Linked DNA regions of Saccharomyces cerevisiae S288C. The gene in region 2 interacts genetically with the main gene of each other region. Each region holds a gene or a part of one and is shown on either strand. Other genes may lie near its edges. The genes, in order: CHS6, TPM1, RGD1 and BEM2.

Region 1 (4,684 bases), on a different chromosome or scaffold from region 2:
TGCTTCCGTACTAGTGGGCTTATCATCGATCTTAATGAAAGCCCTGTTCAACAGTTTAGCTAATGGAGACTGTGAACCAAAATCTTGTCCAAACTTCCAAAAGGACCCTGACATATTTTTTCCTAATTATTAAATGGGCAAAACGATAAACGCCACTATTCTTAAACACTAACTAAAACGAATTTTTCAGAATCTCTAATCAACTAAAATTAGCATGTATTACCTCAAGCTAAAAATATTTAAAGATCTTAGTAAAATATATCTTTTGCGTACCTTTCCCAAATACACAAGCTAAACTACCCTTATCAAGCAGATCTGGTGAAATTTTAAACAAAAATAGTCCCGTTCGATGACTTCGAGCGATGCCCAAGCTTTTCTCATTCTCTTCGGAGTGTTTTGGCGTTAGCCGTCAATCCCTCGCAAAAAAAATTTTCTTCCCAGTTCAAAATGTAAAAAAAAAAATAAAAGGTATACGGTTACCCTTACCCTCAGTCCATCCAACCGTAGTGGTTATATAATAATACTAAGAGCACCGTTTTGTTCAAGGTTGTACTGTGTGATCTAGGTCGGCTATCCACGCAAGCATGGCATCGATCATGACCATGATTTCGTCTCCTATGGAAGGTTGAAGAAGGATCTTATTACGCAGTATATGCGTCCCCAATTCGTTGCATAGCTTTTCTAGCAGTTGCAGATTAAATATCTGGCAATAATTATAATACCTGCAATCATATGATATTTTCTTAATTAATAAACTTATTATGGTATCTGTGTCTAGTAATGTAACCTCTTGAATATTTTTTGGAGGTTGCAGGTATATTTTTAGCAGCTGCTGGCAACTTACGGGGTCGAATCGAGCTACTATGCTTGTTCTTAGACAAGCTACGGCATCTTCCCAATGCCAGGTACGCAGCATGATCAAACCCAAAAGTTCCCACTCTAATCCGCTGTGTTTTTCATCTTTATTGCTTAGGCTAATCTTGCTCAATTTCAAGTCTTGATATAAATCTAAAAATAAATCATCTAGCCACCCTTCACAAAACCTTTTCTTTCGGGATTCCATCGGTATATGACCGTTTTCATCGATAATGTTGTTAGAAGCTTGATAGAATTCAGTTTCCATCATGAAAGCTTCTGTTCGGATGTTTAATAAGCCATTCCAACCAATTTTGTTCACAATTTCCATTAATAACCCATATATTTTACCACTAAACCATCCCAATTGTTTGCCGATCGTATTCCTTGCTATTAAATTGATATTTTTTATGTTTTTGACCTCTTGAGGGGAGACATAATTAATCAGATTCACAGATTGTGGACCACAAATCGGACCCAACTTTATCGCAATATCATCCCAGATTTCCTTTGTATAACCGATTTTTTTTTCGTTTATCATTGCGATTCTTCCAAAAATTTGCCGTTTTAACTCATCCTCTTTCCAATTCCTCAACGTTCCCGAGAGATTCGTGAATTCCATTGCAGTCAAGTCGTAGTGTTCGCGGGTACCATTCAATGGCTTTTTATAATAATTGGAGGTAAGAAACCTACTGTACATTGTTTCCAGGTGTCCATCATTTTTGCGCAAACGAGGCATTGAATTTATTGCGAAGAGAGCCTTTTCATACTCCTCTTTTTTGATGTGGCATCTCGCTAGGTTGTACCAAGATTCAAAAGAGTCTAAGGCTAGTTCGGTTGATGTGTTAGAGACGCCTAATGCTAGTTCGTAATCACCCCTGTTTAACAAAAAATTTGTTTGAATGTTCAGCAAGTCACTCATGCAATTCATTAATCGTGCTGAATCAGCATCGCGAGGCGGTAAATCATTTAGCAGAGATAAAAGGGGGTCGAGCGTCTCATTTAAAATAGTTATCATGTCTAACTCCTTTGTTTCTATGTGATCTAGAATTGTGATCATAGCCGTCTTGTAGTATATGTCATGGATTGGATCTTTCTTGGTAAGTCCTTTCAGGTAGTCGATTGTAAAATCCACTAGGCTTGGCGTGATTGCAATAAAACTTTTTAAACTATACATTAAATAGTTATTGACAATGGTGGCTTGCATACTCTTGGTAGAATCCCACCCGCAATTCAGTGACCGTGGTAAGAATCGGCAGAGTAATTCTATGATCTTTTTGCAAGAGGAGATAGTATCTTTTCCAACGTAGAATGGACACTCTACTAAACCGGGAGGTTTTAACTCTGGATTAGTATTTGTTATTATCGCTCGGATGACAGAACTTGCGAACGTTTCTTCCCACATTTTTTCTGTCATGGTCAGGTCAGTGGTTTCCTTGTTACAGTCAATTGCCGTTGTCTGGAAAGTATCGTCAGCATCGTATCTAATACGGATGTCTAGATTGCTGAAAAAATTAAAACAGCAATAAGTCAATATGATATTATTCGATATATTTTTGGAAATCCGCTTACTCGATTTTAGCACTTCAAGAAACTCTACGGGCATTGCAGGACCGGAAACTTCGATCCCTGTAACGTAGAAATATTCACCAAACTCTTCTTTTTCATGTTTGTTTAAGTAGGACATGTGAACAATCTCAATGGGACCTAGTCCAACATTGCCAGAAGAAATTAAATCCTTGATTAAATGCGTTCTATTGTGCAGACACTCACCAAACTGCCTTTCCATAATTCGTGGACAACTTTTAAATATGTCTCGATTGAGGAATTGATAACCCTTTTGTACTGAAGGTGAGTTCCCAGGTGTATAATCGCCACCAGGTATTTCATTTTGCTTTTTGGTTTCCGATGGCCAAAACAAATTCATAAGGGCAATAGATGTAATCCTTTTTTGCACCAACAGCTTAAGAAAGGTGTTTGCTTTTAATGTGAGTTAAGTAATGTAATGATTTGTTAAGATCCTCTATTCCTTTTTGAGTATCTATTTATTTTCCTAAATTCTTCAAGGCTATTTTTACCATGAATCCGCTAAGATCTGTTTGGGTTCCGATTTTTCGAAGACACACAAAAATAATAGCCGGTTGCTTTCTAACACTACAGAAAGAGGTTTTTTCGAAAGAGTCTATTTCCTATATGCTAAAGTAGAGTTATGATTTCTTTATATTGAGTATGTATTGAATTATTTTCCAAAAAATCAACACCAGGTGAATACGGGGGTGGAATTGACTATTTGTAGCCGCTCTGCTATCACTGTTTTATTAGCAAATGGGTGCAGAGTGGAATCATAGTATACAGGATTACTATTGCTTTGGTTATGTGCATGAAATGGAATTGTGCTTGGGGTGCTAGGGAGTACCATTGGTGAAGTGGAATATGATCCAATAGGTTCGTCTATGGCGTTTTTGAAAATAGAAACTGGAGGTGGGCAACAGGGAACTTGCATCTTCTCATCTATTACCTGGCACCTTGTCCTTCTAACCAATTCCAAGGGGCCTTGTCGTGGGTCTTTCAATGTTTCGACAACGTTGAACGCCTGTCCTTTTAATACTGCCCATTGCTTCTTCCACATTCGGACGTTAAAATCTTGGTCCCTGCTAAATAGGGCCAAGAATTCTTGGTACGACTCTTCCCACCAATTAGTGCTTGTCAATATCGGTAGGAAATGAGATCTCATTTGCTCAGAAAATGGTTTGGCTAGTAGTTGCAGAGGCAAATACAACCAGCCATATGGGTACAGACGCCACTCATCAGGATGCTTCCAGGGAAAGGACAACCCATTGTCGATGGCGGCTAACTTGAGTCTCCACTTATTGTTTGAAAGTTTGATTAGTTTCACCATCCAATTGTCTAGACCTCTATCTGTGTTTCTCATTATATAATCAAGGATAATTAGTTTTTCTAGTTCCAATCTGAACTGACTCAAACTTGATTCTGTCCATTCAAATTTCGAATTTTCTTCAGATTCCGTCGAAATTGGAGAGGAATTTATTTGCTTGGACGGTTCTGTCTCATCTGTTAGGTTCCTGGTTGTCTCTGGTTTATGATTGATATCTTCGCCGGATGACTTACGATGAAATGAATGTTTAACATCTGAATACATCCCAGGTAATGGGTATTTATGAAAGAACTCATCGGCGTTGATGTACTCCTTCAAAAAAAGTTGGAAAGAACCCAGCTTTTTTTGTTTCTTCTTCTGAAGGTTGTATCCCAATACCCATTTTTTTCTATTATCATAAAAATTAAAAGACTCTATAGATGCAGTATCTGTATAGGGTACTAGATGCGTTTCCAGTCGCCTATCCAACAAACTAGCCGCACTTTCACAGATGTACCCGAGGTTTGGAATCAGACAACTTCTGCCAAACAGACATGGGAAAAACGTGCGGTGTGCCCATTTGGTCCATTTGGGAGAAAATGGGCCATATGGTTCCTCATCCTTGGGCTTGAAGACCCCCACCGGAACGCTTTCGTCGGCCCGTGTTCCATACACAAAGTACGACCCACTTGAGCCAGTTTGGATTCTCTCGAGTTCGCGTCCAAATGTCTCTACAGCCTCAATACAGTCAGAAACCAAATGGTTGAAGTTTTCCCTCTGTTCTTGTTCTTCTTTTCTTCGGAGCTGCTCATATGCTAGGCCCTTGGTTGGATATGCATGCAGCGGACGAAATACCGAATATTGAATCTCATATTGACTTCCTTCTTCTTCTTGCCCTGACGCTTTGTCCTCTGCATTATGAAGCAGTCCAACGGCAGGATTGGACCCTGAAGT
Region 2 (3,200 bases):
TGAATACTATTATAATCTATTCCTATCAGTATATAAAAGCGTTCAAACGATTTCACATACTTGTGGGAACGAAGAACGCGTCATTACCTTTTTAGTCTACAGATTCGATGCTCCAGTCATTTTTTTCCTTTATTTTCCGTAATGTTCTAGAAGAAATCGAGCGGGGGAAAAAGATACATAGAAGGATAATGTGATTAAATAAAGTTTGATGTCTAAGGCTATGCAATGGCTATGCAATCCAGGGGGGGTTACCTACTTAAAAGGGGTCGCTACTAAGTATACTATCGTCTTGACTGTCGGGTATAATTATAGGATTGCTTTTGGTCTCACCTGCCATCTGGAAGAGACTTGAAGGAGTAGATAAAAGGGACATGTCTAAGTCGCTGGCGTTAGAAGAGCAGACAGAGCTTTCATTCGATGCTGAACCCGGAGAGCAAAGCAAAGTCAGGCGCAGTTGCGTCCTCTGTGTTATAACCAGCATTAAGTATTCTCTCCACAGTTCCAACAGCAGTTGCTCCTTTCTTGCATGCGATTTGGTGTTCAATTTTCCTCTTCTTTTTGGGTGGTACAACACACTAGGGGAAGTATTGGACCGCCCCACATTCTTGTTATAAACAGATCTTGTGGTTGGGGTCGTTGAATTCTGTTTAATTGTTTTCGTCGCCGTCGCAGGCATAGTCGTCGGGAGACTACCTGGTTGTGATTTGGGTAGTTTCCTACTTATGGAGCGGTTCCTTAGATACGGTGGACGACTACTGGTTGCATACATCTGGCTTCTTAAAAATGGGATAGGAGTTACCGCAGGGTCCCTGCTAGTGAGATTTCTGATAGCGTGTAAGTTTACCGGTTGCGAAGCCAGGACATTTGCAATATCCATTTGTTCCAGTTCTATATAGTTCAAAACGGATGTCAGCTCCTTCTTGCTCCTGAATCTTGACCGTACCTTTGCTTGCCTGTCTTCCCTGCGTATGGAGTGTTGCCTCTTCAAAAACCCTTTGTGAAAAATGAAATTATGATTCTTGCTGAACTTGGAGAGTTCATTTTTGCTGGTAAAGTCTGTTCTTCGTTGTGAAGTGTGTCGAATTGGCTTTGCGTTTATGGTAGGAGAGCGAGACCTCATCTTATAATTCGACCATTGCGTAAACTGTTCCATCACTTCAGTGCTTTCAACCTGGTCCGCTTTGCTTATGTTACGGTTCCTCAAGTGCGAAGCATCGTGGTACTCCATATATGGTTTGAAGCTGTCGTGTGTTATATGAGAGTCATCCGATATTTGCACTATAGGAATCTTGGTATCTGAATTTGAATTTGTGTTCGAATTTGTGTTCGAATTTGTGTTCGAGTTCGAGTTCGAGTTCGATGTAGAATCCACAAGCGCATGTATATAACCTGAAGTGGTAAACCCACCGGTACCCAGGGGAGGTGGGAACAAAGTCGGGGGATAAGACTGAGTCCCAATGCTAGTCTCGTATGTCTCCATTGTCTGTATGGTTGTATTTCAAGACGTATCTGCAAGAAAACTGATGTTTGCGAGTTAGGAACAGGGAAAAATACATGAATTAAGAAATACGAACGATCTTAACTATTTTCAACAGTACCTGAAACATGGATGTAAAAACGTAGAAGATACCCGAATAAAGTGGGGCGCACACCGGACTTGAAACCACTCCTCCTTTACCAAGCACTAATTTAAGCTAATCTAATTTAACGCAGTACATTTTGTATGCGCGGCAGCAGCTTAATACATTGCTGTCATTCACTAATGGAAAAAAAAAAAAAAAAAAAAAATCAAAATATAAAAATAAATATTAAGAACTTAAAAAGACAAACCAGCCATCGCGTGGCGCTAGCACATATATCTTACCCGACGGAGAGCCGGGTAAAGAAGTCGGGTAACCATTAAAATAAAAAATCAGCACACCATAGCACGATCTACGAGAAACGGAAAAGTGTTAGAGATCACATACTGCATACTTGGCAAGAAGAAGGTTCGTTTTTCCCTTCTGATACTGTAAAAGATTAGGTTGGTAGAAGAAATCTACATAGTAGAACTCACACCCCATACACACAAAAAAGGCAACAATGGACAAAATCAGAGAAAAGCTAAGCAACTTGAAGTTGGAAGCCGAATCATGGCAGGAGAAGTACGAGGAGTTGAAAGAGAAGAACAAGGACTTGGAGCAAGAGAACGTCGAAAAGGAGAATCAGATCAAGTCTTTAACCGTCAAAAACCAGCAATTGGAGGATGAGATCGAGAAGCTGGAAGCGGGACTTTCTGACTCTAAGCAAACAGAACAGGATAACGTTGAAAAAGAAAATCAGATCAAGTCCTTGACGGTGAAGAACCACCAATTGGAGGAAGAGATCGAGAAGTTGGAAGCAGAATTGGCTGAATCCAAGCAATTGTCCGAGGACTCTCACCACTTGCAGTCCAACAACGACAATTTCTCCAAGAAGAACCAGCAATTGGAAGAAGACTTGGAGGAAAGCGACACCAAGCTAAAGGAAACCACTGAGAAATTGAGAGAGTCCGACTTGAAGGCAGATCAATTGGAAAGAAGAGTAGCTGCCTTGGAAGAACAAAGAGAAGAATGGGAAAGAAAGAACGAGGAATTGACCGTCAAGTACGAAGACGCAAAGAAGGAACTGGACGAAATTGCTGCATCTCTGGAAAACTTGTGATCTACTTTTGTTTTTTGTTTTCTTTTTCTTTTCCCCAACACGCTGGTCTTTGTTCCTTGTTCTTGAGCAAATCAAACGCTCATGGGCAAACGAAACTAAAATAAGAACCATTTATACAAATACAATAGCTTAGACTATACATCTGTATACTTTTCCCTTGAAGATGTTTTTGTTCTTTACCGTTTGCGTGCTGATTTATGATGTTTTTACATTGGGCGTTATTACCCGAGCGGCGTTTTGTTCGTGGGACTCACACTTGTGCCTGCTCCCATGTTAAGTTTTGCACGGTTTATCACATGGACAAAGGCATTCTCATATTACACAGCTACATGTGATATATATCGGGCGTTTCCACGTGTACAAGAACCTGAAAAGTTTATCGGAAGACTAAGTTTTGGGTTGCCCACCGTCTGTGCATCTACGTGAACACACCAGGGTTTCTCATTTCTTTTTTCTTTAAGTTTTTTTTCTCTTCCCTTCCCTTCCTTTGGTCAAATAATCTTATTTGATTCTTCAGG
Region 3 (4,614 bases), on a different chromosome or scaffold from region 2:
GTTGCTTGGAACGGCTAGTAATAGAATCTCTCCAAATTCTAGAACCCTCTTTGGTACATGCGATAAATAATTTGATCAAGTCTAGCATAGAATCACTCAAAAATGTAACAGTGACAAGTGATGACAAAACTTCATCTGGTGTCATTATTTTGTCCTACAAAGAATTTAAGTCACTATCTGAAGTTAACAAAGATTTCAATGAACCATTTTGGCCTAACCAATCAATTGCGAATAGTTGGCCAGATTTCGCGAATAAGCAATTAAAGAGGGGTCAAATTTTGCAAGACGCATTTGCATTCCACCTTTTTGAAATTGAACTACCAATTATTATCGATACTACAAGAAATACGCATTTGAAACTCGTTTCCAACATGTGTACTACGAGCATATTGTACTTATATAATGAAGTTGATTCCTTATCATTAACTAGCATACAGGAAAAATTAGCTGTTTTACCGACAAGTAAACGGAATGAAATCTTATTGTACAATTTGAACAGGCTAACAAAATTGAAACTATTGTTGTTGAAAGAGAACGAAAAAGGACAAAAGTTTTACGCATTTAATTTTAAGTACAAAAGGGATGGACAGAAAACATCATTAATAAGGTTAATTTAACAACCGTGAAGACAGGGAGTTGGACCTTAGCAAGTTTTGTAGTAAATTATTATGGAATAGTACAACAGAATTTTTTTTTTTCTCAATATATAATTTTCCTTTGTTTTTACTTAAATCTGATAACAGCGTCAATGTACATACAAGTGGAAATTAAAGACGGAATGAAAATATCATAAGTGCTATGTTTATTCAGGCTCAAAAGCTTGATCTGAAACCTCTAATAATACTTCCATTGCCATAATTTGAAAATTTACATCATTAGCGTCATCTGGATTTGCAGGCGCAATAGTTGGACCCCAAATTATACAAAGAGCCCTTAAATTCATTCTGTTTTGGGCTTCATGTGCCAACACTCTTTTCAAATGAAAGACAAGAGCCCTTAACGTCCAGTATTGTGCGTCGGGGAGGTTATATATTAGTCCGTGCATAAAATTTTTTCTTGTTGTTGGGTCTTCAATTTGTAAACAAACCTTGATCTCCGATGATAGGGCCTTTGGTAAAACACTATCAGGCAGCGACGCAAAAAAAGTTTTCAGCAGTGATCCTACTAAATAAATATCCGAATCAGAATGTGGCTTTGATGGTAGAATCATGGAAATGTTTGCGGGATCCTTATCAATTTCCTCCTTCAACTTGCTGACATCAAGTACATTTGCCGATTTTCTATAAATTCCTTCTTGATCAAGCCCAAATTTATCAATAACGTATATGCATTGGCGCACTATCGCAGGGACCATGTCTTGTTCGAATTCTATCAGTGATTCTAGCGGTACACCAAATGTTTTGAAATTTTTTTGAACACCGGGTGGCATATTGTTGTTAGTCTGAATGTGAGAAATCGGGCGATCCGAGTCTAAAGAGTTAATCAATTCTTCTGGAATTTGTGGACTATTGTTGCCAGGATCCAGGGTCTTTGTTATGGATGATGTGGTGTCGCTTGTTACAATGGAAGAAGACGGTGACATAGCGCCAGCCGCATTGCTAGTGGAAGAAATAGATGAAGCCATAGTAGGTGGTAACTGCTTGTTGGTATTTAAGGACGGTGTAGCACTGTTAAGATTAGCATTCGGAACAGCGGCAGTGTTACTACTACTGCTCAAAAATGGAGATTCATTATGAGTGGATATCATTCTCTTCGGGATGGAGTTTCTTGAAGGGTCCACGGCAAACTTTGGGGGGCTCTTATTTTTCTGACCATGATTCATTGATGGATGCTTTTTGTATGATACAGGGATCAAGTTTTTGTTGATCAGTAGGGAATGTTTTCCTGTTTGGTTATACTTGTTCAAAAAACTGTAAAGATCACGTTCATTGGAAACAGATCCAGCAAATGATTTCATAGATTTGGTGGAGTCCAATGGGCTTATTGTAACACCTGTATTCAGAACCAAATTTTCCGTCCATATCGTGTACTTCTGCAATTGGATAGTCATCGCTGTGTCTATTTCTAAAATCAAATCTTTTAATTCTTGAACAATTCTAGGTCTCTCCTTCGTTATGAATGTGTTTCTCAAAGAATTAGAATGATCTACTTTTTGCTTATATTCCAGATCGGCGTTATCGATTTTTCTTAACAATTCTTCTTCTTGTTCCTTCGTAGTTTTGGAACCTCTCAAGGTCAGCTTTGTTTTTGTTGGGTCAGTCATCCTCAATTTGTCCCAATCTTGGCACAACGAATTGTAACGAGATTGCGCCTTTTCTGCGCTGTGTATGGCATCAGAAACATCCTTTTCCAGCCTTTTGCTGTTCTCCTTGACAGACTTTCTTAATTTTGTCATTGTTAATAAAAGACTACTAATCTCGGAGTACATTTTCTGCAAGGCGGTGATATAACTCTGCTTTACTTGAGCCATCTTGCCATCGAATCCCAAAACTTCGTGAATCATCTTTTTTAAGGATGAATTTGTGGAACCCTGAATGTTGAAAAAGTGCTTATATTGCTTGGAGAGCTCCTGAACGTGCTCTTCTTCGAAGGCGTATTTCTTTCTAATAAATTTCATAAACTCTTCACAAGTCAACAACGACTGCTTTAAACGGCTCAACAAAGCGTTAATTGCCACATCGGAATTTAGCACCTTCTTGATCTCTGGCGTGCTAAAAAGGTGCGCCAAATCGTCGGTGCCACCATCGTGCGACGACTTCGCACTTACTGTGGCACTAGCTGGTTTCTTCGCAGTCTCTTCCATCTTGTCTATATCACTTCTCTTTTAATCTTCCGAGATTGTATGTTTTTACTTTACATACTATTTTGTTCACATTCTTTATTTTCTGGGTTCTTTTTCCATATATATCGAAAAAAAAGTCTATATAATGGCACAAATGGTGAATGCCAGCACAAGAAAAGGGGCGTATCTATATAAATCTATGCATCCTTGATCCTAGTTTGGCATGGGCTTGAGTGCGTACATCCTCACTGGGTACAATTCTCTTGGTAAGCCACGTTGTCTTTCACTGGCGATGAGCTTTAGGCCAGCTTCTTCGAAGATTTGCCTGAACTTAGCATCTGACCTTGTGACCGAAGAATCCGTTTCGTCGAAATCATCGGTATCTGTAGGTGTGTTATTTTCTTTGACCACGATTGTCCCATTAGGTTGCAAACCAACAATACATCTTTTCAGGAATGCGACGAGTTCTGCATCTGGCAGGTGTCCCACGCACCATTGGCACCAGATCAGCCAGTACTTGCCGGCATCGGGGGTCCAGTCCTGCATCCCTACTTCATATATTTGTCCAATTTGGCCTTTGTCTTTCAGCTCAGCCAATTCAACGTGCATTTGCTCGATAAAAGGCTTTACCGGTTCTACAAGGTCTATCTTAGCGGCGTGCTTGTGAAGCATGGTCTTGCTTACACGTCCAATCCCCGCACCAATGTCTACAGCGTACTTCACGTTGTTCTCCTGAGGCAGCATCCTCGACTTCAGTTTACGCAGGAAGTTATTGGATCCCAGGACATCCATTGTGGGTACTACTGTACCTTCTCCGTATCCACCTAGAACACCATCCACAGTGGCGTCCACATCCGTCCAATAGTCGATGGCATCTTCGTATTTGATATGGGAATCTGCAGGCACGTCCATCGTTGTTGTTTATGTATTCTTTCTTGGAGATGCTCTTGACACCGATGCACATTACCAGAGTGAAAAGTACTGATTAATAATTAAATTTTTCTTTTGATATTTTTTCTGAATATAAAGTTCTACACAGAGTCGTTACAATAGGTTATATACATGAGGATGTTCGTTACAGTAGGAGAAATAGAAAGCTCGCTAATTCTTACCCCAGGAGTAGATCCAATCGACAGAGTTTCTTATCTGTTCATTCCAAATATCTTTTATGCTCTCCCCCATGGTCCTGCTCCATGCAGTGCCATCATCCGTCACAACTAGCTTGCGGTTCCTGGTCTCCCCAGGTACCACTTCTTTTCTATCCACCAGGTCCTGTACCTGATGATCTTGTTTCAACCATGTAGCATCGTGATCGTAGAAGTAGCCATTGTTACTGTATCGGTACAGGTAAAAAACAGAACCGATTACTCCCACAGAGAGAGTCCACTTCACAGATCTTGCTAACGGACCCAATTTCGACATGATTCTCTCCGTTATCTGCTGGTTCTTAGTCCACTGTCTGTTCTGTCCCCCTTCTGTCCAAGAGATAGAATATAAAAAAGACTCATTATTTTTTTTTAGGTACTTCGCTTATTGGTGGTCAATGAGAAAAAAAATACTAAAAGCCATCGCCTCTTGGAGAAGAGCAAACTATCAAAAATCATCAAGCCGACATTTCCACATCGAGTCTCATAGTCTTTCAATCATGTTTCCCAGAGCTTCTGCATTGGCCAAATGTATGGCAACTGTTCATCGTCGTGGGCTACTCACCAGTGGTGCACAATCGCTAGTCTCCAAACCAGTCTCGGAGGGAGATCCAGAGATGTTTGACATCTTGCAACAAGAACGTCACAGACAAAAACACTCTATCACCCTTATCCCATCAGAAAACT
Region 4 (8,212 bases), on a different chromosome or scaffold from region 2:
GCAATATCTCGAACCAATGAATTCTTTCTACTTCTCGCCATCTTTGGATGTGTCGATAATTCGTGCAATATTGGGTAAAACAATTCATGCTGGGAGTATTTATTGTGTGTCTATAAAGCCAAGACTTTACATAACAATGGACGCAACGACTGCCGTTATACAGGGTAACCTCAATTTGCGCCTCTATATTCTATATTAATACTACTTATGATCCATCCGCAGCTGATACTTAGAGTTACGAGGCAGAGCATCGAAAAATCTGAGCCCACCATTAAGTTGCAATATAAGTACGAATTTTCCTGCTCTTCTCTCGTCTTTGGATTACTGTATTCATTGATAAATCTCTATTATTTTTTTCAGTTTTTCACTTTCTTTTCGAGCGATGGGAACGGCAAATCACGAAAATTTTCTGTCAACGTAGAAAGTAATGATGTGTTAATACTATCGAAAAGCTGTGGAATTGAAGAGCCCAGCCCAAAAAGTCTGCATGAATAGCGTAAAAAGAGTAAAGCTAAATTCAAAAATGTCCAAACAAATATGCACGCATTCCGGATCTTTTCACGCGGACGAGTCGTTGGCGGTATACATGTTAAGGCTACTACCCGAATTTAAAGATGCTAAGTTGGTTAGATCAAGAAATCCCAAGGACTGGGAGGCTAGTGACATTCTAGTGGATGTAGGAGCTCAGTATGACGGCGTGAAATTTTTTGACCACCACCAGCGTGGATTTTTCGAAACTTTCAACGAGAAATACAAGACTAAGCTCTCAAGTGCTGGTCTGATCTTCAAACACTACGGTCGTGACATTATCAAAACAATTTTGAACAACAAGGTTAGCAGCTCTGATTTAGATCTGCTCTATGACAAGGTATACAAACAATTTGTCGAGGCACTGGATGCAAACGACAACGGTATTAGCAAGTACACGATTCCTAAGGATTCCAACTTGGAACCGAATTTCAGGGATAACGCCATCAGCATTCCCGGGATTATTTCAGGTATGAATCCTAACTGGAACGAAGACACTTCCGATGAGTCTTTTGACAGATGCTTTGCTCGCGCAAGTGAGTTTATCGGTGGGGTCTTTGTCACATTGGTAAGAGGCTACGGTCAATCGTGGTTGCCAGCCAAGGCCCTTGTGGCGCAAGCCATTGATGAAAGAATGGATGTTGATAAGAGTGGCAAAATCATTGTCTTGCCCCAATTCTGTCCATGGAAGGAGCATCTATACGAGCTGGAAAGAGAGAAGAACATTGAAAAGCAAATCGAGTTTGTTCTCTTCACAGACTCTTCTGGTGCCTGGAGGGTATCTACTGTACCAATCAACTCCACCTCCTTCCAGTTTAGGAGAGGTTTGCCGGAGCCATTAAGAGGCCTCAGAGACGAAGAGCTGAGCACCAAGAGCGGTGTGCCAGGATGTATCTTCATTCATGCAGCAGGTTTCATTGGAGGTGCCAAGTCCAAAGAGGCTGTATATGAGCTGGCTAAGATGTCTTTGGCCTAGTCGGGAGCGAGCGCTCAGTCAGGTCCCTTATCTATTTAATAATATTTAACAATTCCACTATTTATTCTGTATAGTAAGTAAATCTTTAATGCAAGCAAAAATCTTCCCGCCGCGAATCCTGAAACATATTCCCCTCGGTGAAACACGCTCTTGAAAATGACCTGAGAACACAAGATATCAGACGGCTCTTGTTGCACAAAAAACAAAAACAAAAGAAGCAAGCTACGTTGCAGCCACTGGTACTGTCTGCTAACTCAAACATTCTTTTTCATTTTTAATATACAGATTTCGTATTCTCCCGTTCCCGCTATACGCAATTTTCTTTCTTTTTTTTCCCTCTTTGGTTAGGAGACTGCAGATCAGTCCCATTTTTTCCAACAGAACAAACAAGCAAACGTTTCAGTTTAAAAGAACACACGGTCGTCGTGCCTTTTCTGGATAGACACAAAAAAAACAAATAACGAAGCAGGAGTCTAATGAAAGGTCTTCTCTGGTCTAAGAACAGGAAATCTTCAACGGCCAGTGCTAGTTCAAGCTCAACTTCCACGTCTCATAAGACAACTACTGCGTCTACAGCATCGTCGTCGTCGCCGTCATCATCCTCTCAAACTATTCGAAACTCGACAAGCGGTGCTTCTCCATACATGCATTCCCACCATCACCATGGCCAGGGACACAGTCACCACAGAGGGGAAGACAACAACAGAGATAAGAGAAAAAGCTCCGTATTTCCACCCTCCAAGCAGTACACATCCACTAGTTCCAGTCAGGTGAACTTGGGGATGTATCATTCGGATACTAACACCAGATCTTCTAGAAGCATAGCCTCTACGCTAAAAGACGATTCTCCGTCTGTCTGCTCCGAAGATGAAATAAGCAATTCTTCTAGCCAGAAGTCCAATGCCCAGGATGAGACTCCCATTGCGTACAAGAAGAGTGCCCATTCGAAAGACTCATTGTTGCCTTCACGTTCCTCGTCTTTATCACCTCCTCAGTCTCGATGTAGCACTGGAACTACGCTAGAGAAATCGTTGAACACTTCAGGTATCAGTAACAGTAGCGGCACTAATAATAACAATAGCAATAATAACAACGATAACGAGCAAAAGCAAAGAAATGTTATCCACTTAAACTCTGAAAACTATGATACAACTGTTTTTAAGACTGGATGGGTTAATAAGTCCCATGGCCAGACTGTTGCTACAAACTATAATAGCTCAATGACAGCCCCTTCCTCTTCCTCTTCGTCCTCCTCTCAGAATCTCCGTAATGATGCGTATTCTAGAAACAGGGAAAGCAGGTTTTATGGGAACGACGGTTCGTCTTTAAAAAATGATGACAGCAGTAGTACTACGGCCACTAACAGTGGCAATGATGTGGCCTCAGCAAGAAGCAGCATGGCTATAGATCCTCAAATGCTAGTACCTGATTACCGTCTTTATAGGGCTCAATTGAAAGGTTGCGTTCTCAACCTTTACAAAAGTGGTTTGAATAGTAACATTAAGTTTTTTGATCCAACTTTACCAGCTTCAAATAGTAGTATAGCAAATGAAAACCATCAACAGAAAAAACAACAAACAAACAACCAAGCACAAGCGGAAGCTCTGCACCAAAAGCAATCATTTGGCCAAATGGGTGAACCTATTACACTGGACCTGAAGTATTTATCTGAAGTTTACCCGCACCCAGATTTAAGACAAGACAGTGATGGTAAAATTATATCAGGCACAATAGAAAGTTTATGTCACACAGTCTTATTTTACCCCGGTCCAAAGCAATCGGACGTACCTAATGAGAAATCATTATCTAAGACACATAGAGCTGTTATTAATCTGTTATTGATGTTTCCATTACTAGATCATTTCATTAAGTTTCTAAAGGTATTCAACCAATTCGGTCTTTCTTTTACCAAGAATAAATCAAGATTGACAAATAATTCCACACAATTCTACAACATATCCCCTGCTGTCGATGACTCCATGACTCAAAGATTAGCTTTAACTGCTAAAACAATCCTTGATGTATTTCCGGGATTTTTGCTGGATGAACCAATGCTGAAGACTATAATTTCCTTATTAGATACTATATCTTTGCATAACGATGAAATTTCCAACAATTTGAAAATTAAAATCGCCAATAAACATAACGAATTAATGAAACTTACCGCATTCACTCGATCTCTTCCAATGGCAACATCATCTACACATGAATTAGAGATTATATTGGATCCAAGTCATTTCCTGTCTTTAGACATTACAACATTGGCTGATGAAGTTCATCATATCAATTTAAAGTTTGATAAAGTATGGGCACCGAAATTTGACTATTCTCTGCTGTATGATTCGAAGTTTATTAATCGAAGAATTGTCTCGTTAAATCCATTGGTATTCAACAACGACCAAAATATCCATTTTCTTGGAAGGCTACTAATATCACATTTATTTCCAACAAATCCTGAGTTTAGTAAAAAAGTGACTCCAAAAGTGAGAGCTGAGTTATTAGATAAATGGGTCCAAATTGGCTGTAGATTTGAACATTTAGGAGACATGGTATCATGGCTAGCTGTCGCCACTATCATTTGTTCAATTCCTGTACTAAGGTCATCTTCATGGAAATATGTTCCTGATCAGTCATTGAAAACTATTTTTAAAGATTGGGTTCCTACCATTATTCAGTTAGAGAGGCGACAAAGGACATCTAAATCTACAAGTAGTGTTTTCATACTCGCTCCTCCAAATCTGGATGACGACTTTACGAGAGCTAACGTGATTTCTTATTTTGGCGATTTATTAATTCATGCTGATGATTTACCATCTGATACGAAATTCAAGTACTTGGAAAAGAAAATTAACAGAACAAAAAACGCTTTTCATAAATGGCAACAAAGATTACAAGCAATCGACTCTACGAGACATAAAACTAATTCGACAGAAAACGTCAGGGATAATGATTCTCCTAATAACGTTGTTTATCAGCTCTGGAAATTTCATTTATCACAACCTCCGTTGAACATTGAAGGAATAATGAAATTAAGTGTCCAACACGAACCTCCAATAATCGACCAGAAAGCGTATTCTACTATTGGTTCTCAAAGGAGTGCTTTAGTAACTGGAAGTTATTTACCCATTTTATTCAATGAACTATTCCCAAATTATTCACTATTTCCTAAGAATACATTAGTGGGTGCTGCCAGTGATGCGAAGTTGCCGCCTCCAAGATCATCCGCGCGCCTCTCAAAATCACTTTCAATCAGTGAACCAATTCCAATAGCTTCAAACAGTCACACTATGGGCTCATTAACAGATGATGCTATGTCCTCAAAAAATGATAATAATAAAGTTACAGGTGTTGGAAAAATTGACGGACCTGTGATCAAAGAGATGTCGTCAAAACAATCAAATAAACAGAGACTATTAAAATCTGTGAGAGATGTTTTTAATATTGACATGGATGTGTTTCATATATCAGATGAGTTAGTATTTAAATCGGTATACGATAATGATGGTAAATCCCGTCCTGCTAGTATGGTCATAGAAACACCAAAGAGATTCTCACAACACTCTTCCATGCTTATTAATAATCCAGCTACTCCAAACCAAAAGATGAGAGATTCCTTGGATACCACTGGAAGACTAAGTAAGACATTAGAAAATATGGACTTTTTCAACAATATTGGTCAAGTATCAGATTCACTAAAAGAATCGATTATTCGTGTCGTATTGAAATCGTCGTCGCTAGAAAAGATTTTTGATTTACTGGTATTAACTTCAAATATCTTTTCAAAATTGGTAGACACTAAAGACCTTGAGAATTATTACTATCATCAAAGACAAAGGGGTCATTCTACCAGAGGGCTTTCCGATGATAACATAGGACTACTAGATTATGCATTCGTTAAACTAACTATGGACAATGATATTTTCACAGAAACATTCTTCAACACTTATAAAAGCTTTACTACTACAACTACGGTATTAGAAAATATGGCAAAACGGTATGTTGGTGCAAAGAGTTGCAGCGTGTCAATTTCCAAGATTTTAGATCGCAGTGATGATTCTAAAATGAAGATAAATGAGGATACAAATTTAGTGTCCTCTTCATTATACGACCAAAATTTTCCTGTTTGGGATATGAAAGTAACTGACGATGAAAACATAAACCTTATTTATATGGCAAAAATCCAAATCGGCGCCGCGGAAGCTATACTACATTTAGTGAAAAATCATTACTCTGACTTTACTGACGATTTATGTAACAACTCTACTCTATTGGATATTATAAAAATAATGGAACAAGAAGTATCCACTGAATGGCCTACGCGAATTGCAAACTCAAAGTTACAAAAAAGCCTACCAGAAAATTTTGTGATTGAAACAGAAAATTTGTTGACTACGTTAACTGATCTATTTCATGGTATTAAATCAGCATACCAAAAGCAACTATACAGACCTATTGGTGTCAATAGAACTCAGAAGAGAATAACTGACATTTTGAATTCCTTTAACACATTCTCTTTTACAGATCTTAACAACATCATTGATGATCCTTCCTTTAGCGATGACATGATTAGATCTTTTCAAAAGTTACACTCAACCAATTACGAAGATATACTAGAATGGATCTACCAGTTAGATAACTTTATTTCTAAGAAGTTCAATTTAGTTTCTAAGAAAGATTGGATAGTTCTTTTCCAGGAGTTGGAATTGCTTTCAAAGGAATCTCTGGTCTCTTTTTTCAATTATCCGCTACATTTTAAGTCAAGCAAATTGATAAACCCCGGATATTTGCAATTGCACGAGTTTGAAATTTCCAATCTTTTTACTTGGATTTCTACATTGATTCTTAAGGATGATAATGGTACGGAGAGTCTTTTTTTTGAAAAACTACCACAATCTATAAAATTGTTAATAAAGTTACACACGAGTCTAACTACGTTTTTCGTGATGGAAATTTCAAACGTCAACAAAAGCAGTAGTGAAAGGTTAACTACTTGTAAAGTTATATTACAAATTTTGAACTACATCCGCTGGAAAAACGGAAGTTTGGATTTATTTGATTCAGAGGAGGATGAAAGTCCTCATGCTATTTGTCCACACATTCCAGCTTTTATTGAAACTGCTATTGCGCATGCCATAATATCACCAGAGTCTAGAAACTATGAACTTTCGTGGATCAAAGCTTCTGAAAAACTTTCGGACCCTACTAAAGGAACCCAAAATCTAAGATCGATTAGTAACGTTTTAGAGAAGATAGATGACATACATATAAAGAGATTCATTGAGATTGATGATGTATTCAGCAAAAACTGCAAGAATTTATGCCCCTGCCCTGGTTGGTTCATTTCAAGGTTACTAGAAATATCTCAGTTTGTCCCTAACATGAGTATCACTAATTCGAAACTTATTAATTTTGACAAAAGGAGATTTGTTAACAACATAATATCTAATGTCTTGGATTTAATTCCGAACGAAAGGGAGTTTCCACTTGATATTGAAATGAGTGACGAAAATCCTTCGAAAAGAACTACATTTGGCCGCATTCTGTTCAATAATTTTGAAGATGTTAATAAAGTATACAGAAAGAAGACTAAAAAAGTATCAGAATCAGAAGCCATATCGGAGAGATTTCAAGAGCAGGGAGTATTTAATGAAATACTAGTCAATGAAATTGAAAAAATAAAGAGGGAAGCCAGAAAATTAGAGGTTTTACTCGATCAAGAAAAGATCTTGAAGAACTCTGCTGCTTTACATCAGGCCGTTCCGAAAAAGAATAGGAAGTCTGTTATTATCTCAGGTACTCATAGTGACAACGATCATAGCTATAATATCAATAAGAACACCGGTCAAACGCCTTCTCTAGGTAGTGTTATGGAAAGCAATAATTCAGCAAGGAATAGAAGAGATTCAAGGGCCTCCTTTTCCACAAATAGATCATCAGTAGTGTCAAATTCCAGCCATAATGGTGTTAGTAAAAAAATAGGTGGATTTTTCAGAAGACCATTTTCAATCGGTGGATTCAACACATCCAGTTCTAATTATTCACTCAACAGTATATTATCGCAAGAAGTTTCAAGTAACAAATCCATTCTACCAAGTATACTTCCAGAGGTTGATTCCATGCAACTACACGACTTAAAACCTAGTTATAGTTTGAAGACCTTTGAAATCAAGTCAATAATGGAAATAATCAATCACAGAAACATTCCGGCTTACTACTATGCGTTCAAGATAGTTATGCAAAATGGCCATGAATATCTGATTCAAACGGCTAGTTCTAGTGACCTCACAGAATGGATAAAAATGATCAAGGCTTCCAAGAGATTTTCATTCCATTCGAAAAAATATAAAGGTAAAACTCATAATAAGATATTTGGGGTACCATTAGAAGACGTTTGTGAAAGAGAGAATACCTTGATACCTACAATTGTTGTGAAATTGCTGGAAGAGATTGAGCTGCGTGGGCTAGATGAAGTGGGATTGTACAGAATTCCTGGTTCCATCGGCAGTATAAATGCACTAAAGAACGCATTTGACGAAGAAGGTGCAACAGATAATTCCTTTACATTAGAGGACGATAGATGGTTTGAAGTGAATGCGATCGCAGGCTGTTTTAAGATGTATTTAAGAGAGTTACCAGATTCTTTATTTTCTCATGCTATGGTGAACGACTTTACCGATTTGGCGATTAAGTATAAAGCACATGCAATGG

What was found.
Region 1: mutations in TPM1 (region 2) and CHS6 together harm fitness more than expected from each alone (negative genetic interaction), as found in Saccharomyces cerevisiae (4 studies listed by BioGRID).
Region 3: mutations in TPM1 (region 2) and RGD1 together harm fitness more than expected from each alone (negative genetic interaction), as found in Saccharomyces cerevisiae (3 studies listed by BioGRID).
Region 4: mutations in TPM1 (region 2) and BEM2 together harm fitness more than expected from each alone (negative genetic interaction), as found in Saccharomyces cerevisiae (5 studies listed by BioGRID, with this or other methods).

The regions. Positions count from the first base shown.
Region 1 is NC_001142.9:237,512-242,195, reverse strand, and holds CHS6 (Chs6p), read right to left. Parts: upstream 2,783-4,684; coding exon 542-2,782; downstream 1-541. Other genes in the region: SAP185 (Sap185p), read right to left, coding at 1-114; 1-phosphatidylinositol 4-kinase LSB6, read right to left, coding at 3,110-4,684. UniProt on the Saccharomyces cerevisiae protein: Member of the CHS5-ARF1P-binding proteins (CHAPS) which mediates export of specific cargo proteins, including chitin synthase CHS3.
Region 2 is NC_001146.8:478,048-481,247, reverse strand, and holds TPM1 (tropomyosin TPM1), read left to right. Parts: upstream 1-2,082; coding exon 2,083-2,682; downstream 2,683-3,200. Other genes in the region: NIS1 (Nis1p), read right to left, coding at 257-1,480.
Region 3 is NC_001134.8:731,837-736,450, forward strand, and holds RGD1 (GTPase-activating protein RGD1), read right to left. Parts: upstream 2,804-4,614; coding exon 803-2,803; downstream 1-802. Other genes in the region: YBR259W (uncharacterized protein), read left to right, coding at 1-617; TAE1 (N-terminal protein methyltransferase), read right to left, coding at 2,996-3,694; MIC12 (Mic12p), read right to left, coding at 3,884-4,204; glycine hydroxymethyltransferase SHM1, read left to right, coding at 4,428-4,614.
Region 4 is NC_001137.3:476,617-484,828, reverse strand, and holds the start of BEM2 (GTPase-activating protein BEM2), read left to right. Parts: upstream 1-1,980; coding exon 1,981-8,212. Other genes in the region: Golgi transport complex subunit COG3, read right to left, coding at 1-41; MYG1 (Myg1p), read left to right, coding at 488-1,504. UniProt on the Saccharomyces cerevisiae protein: GTPase-activating protein (GAP) for RHO1 and RHO2. Involved in the control of cellular morphogenesis. Required for proper bud site selection and bud emergence.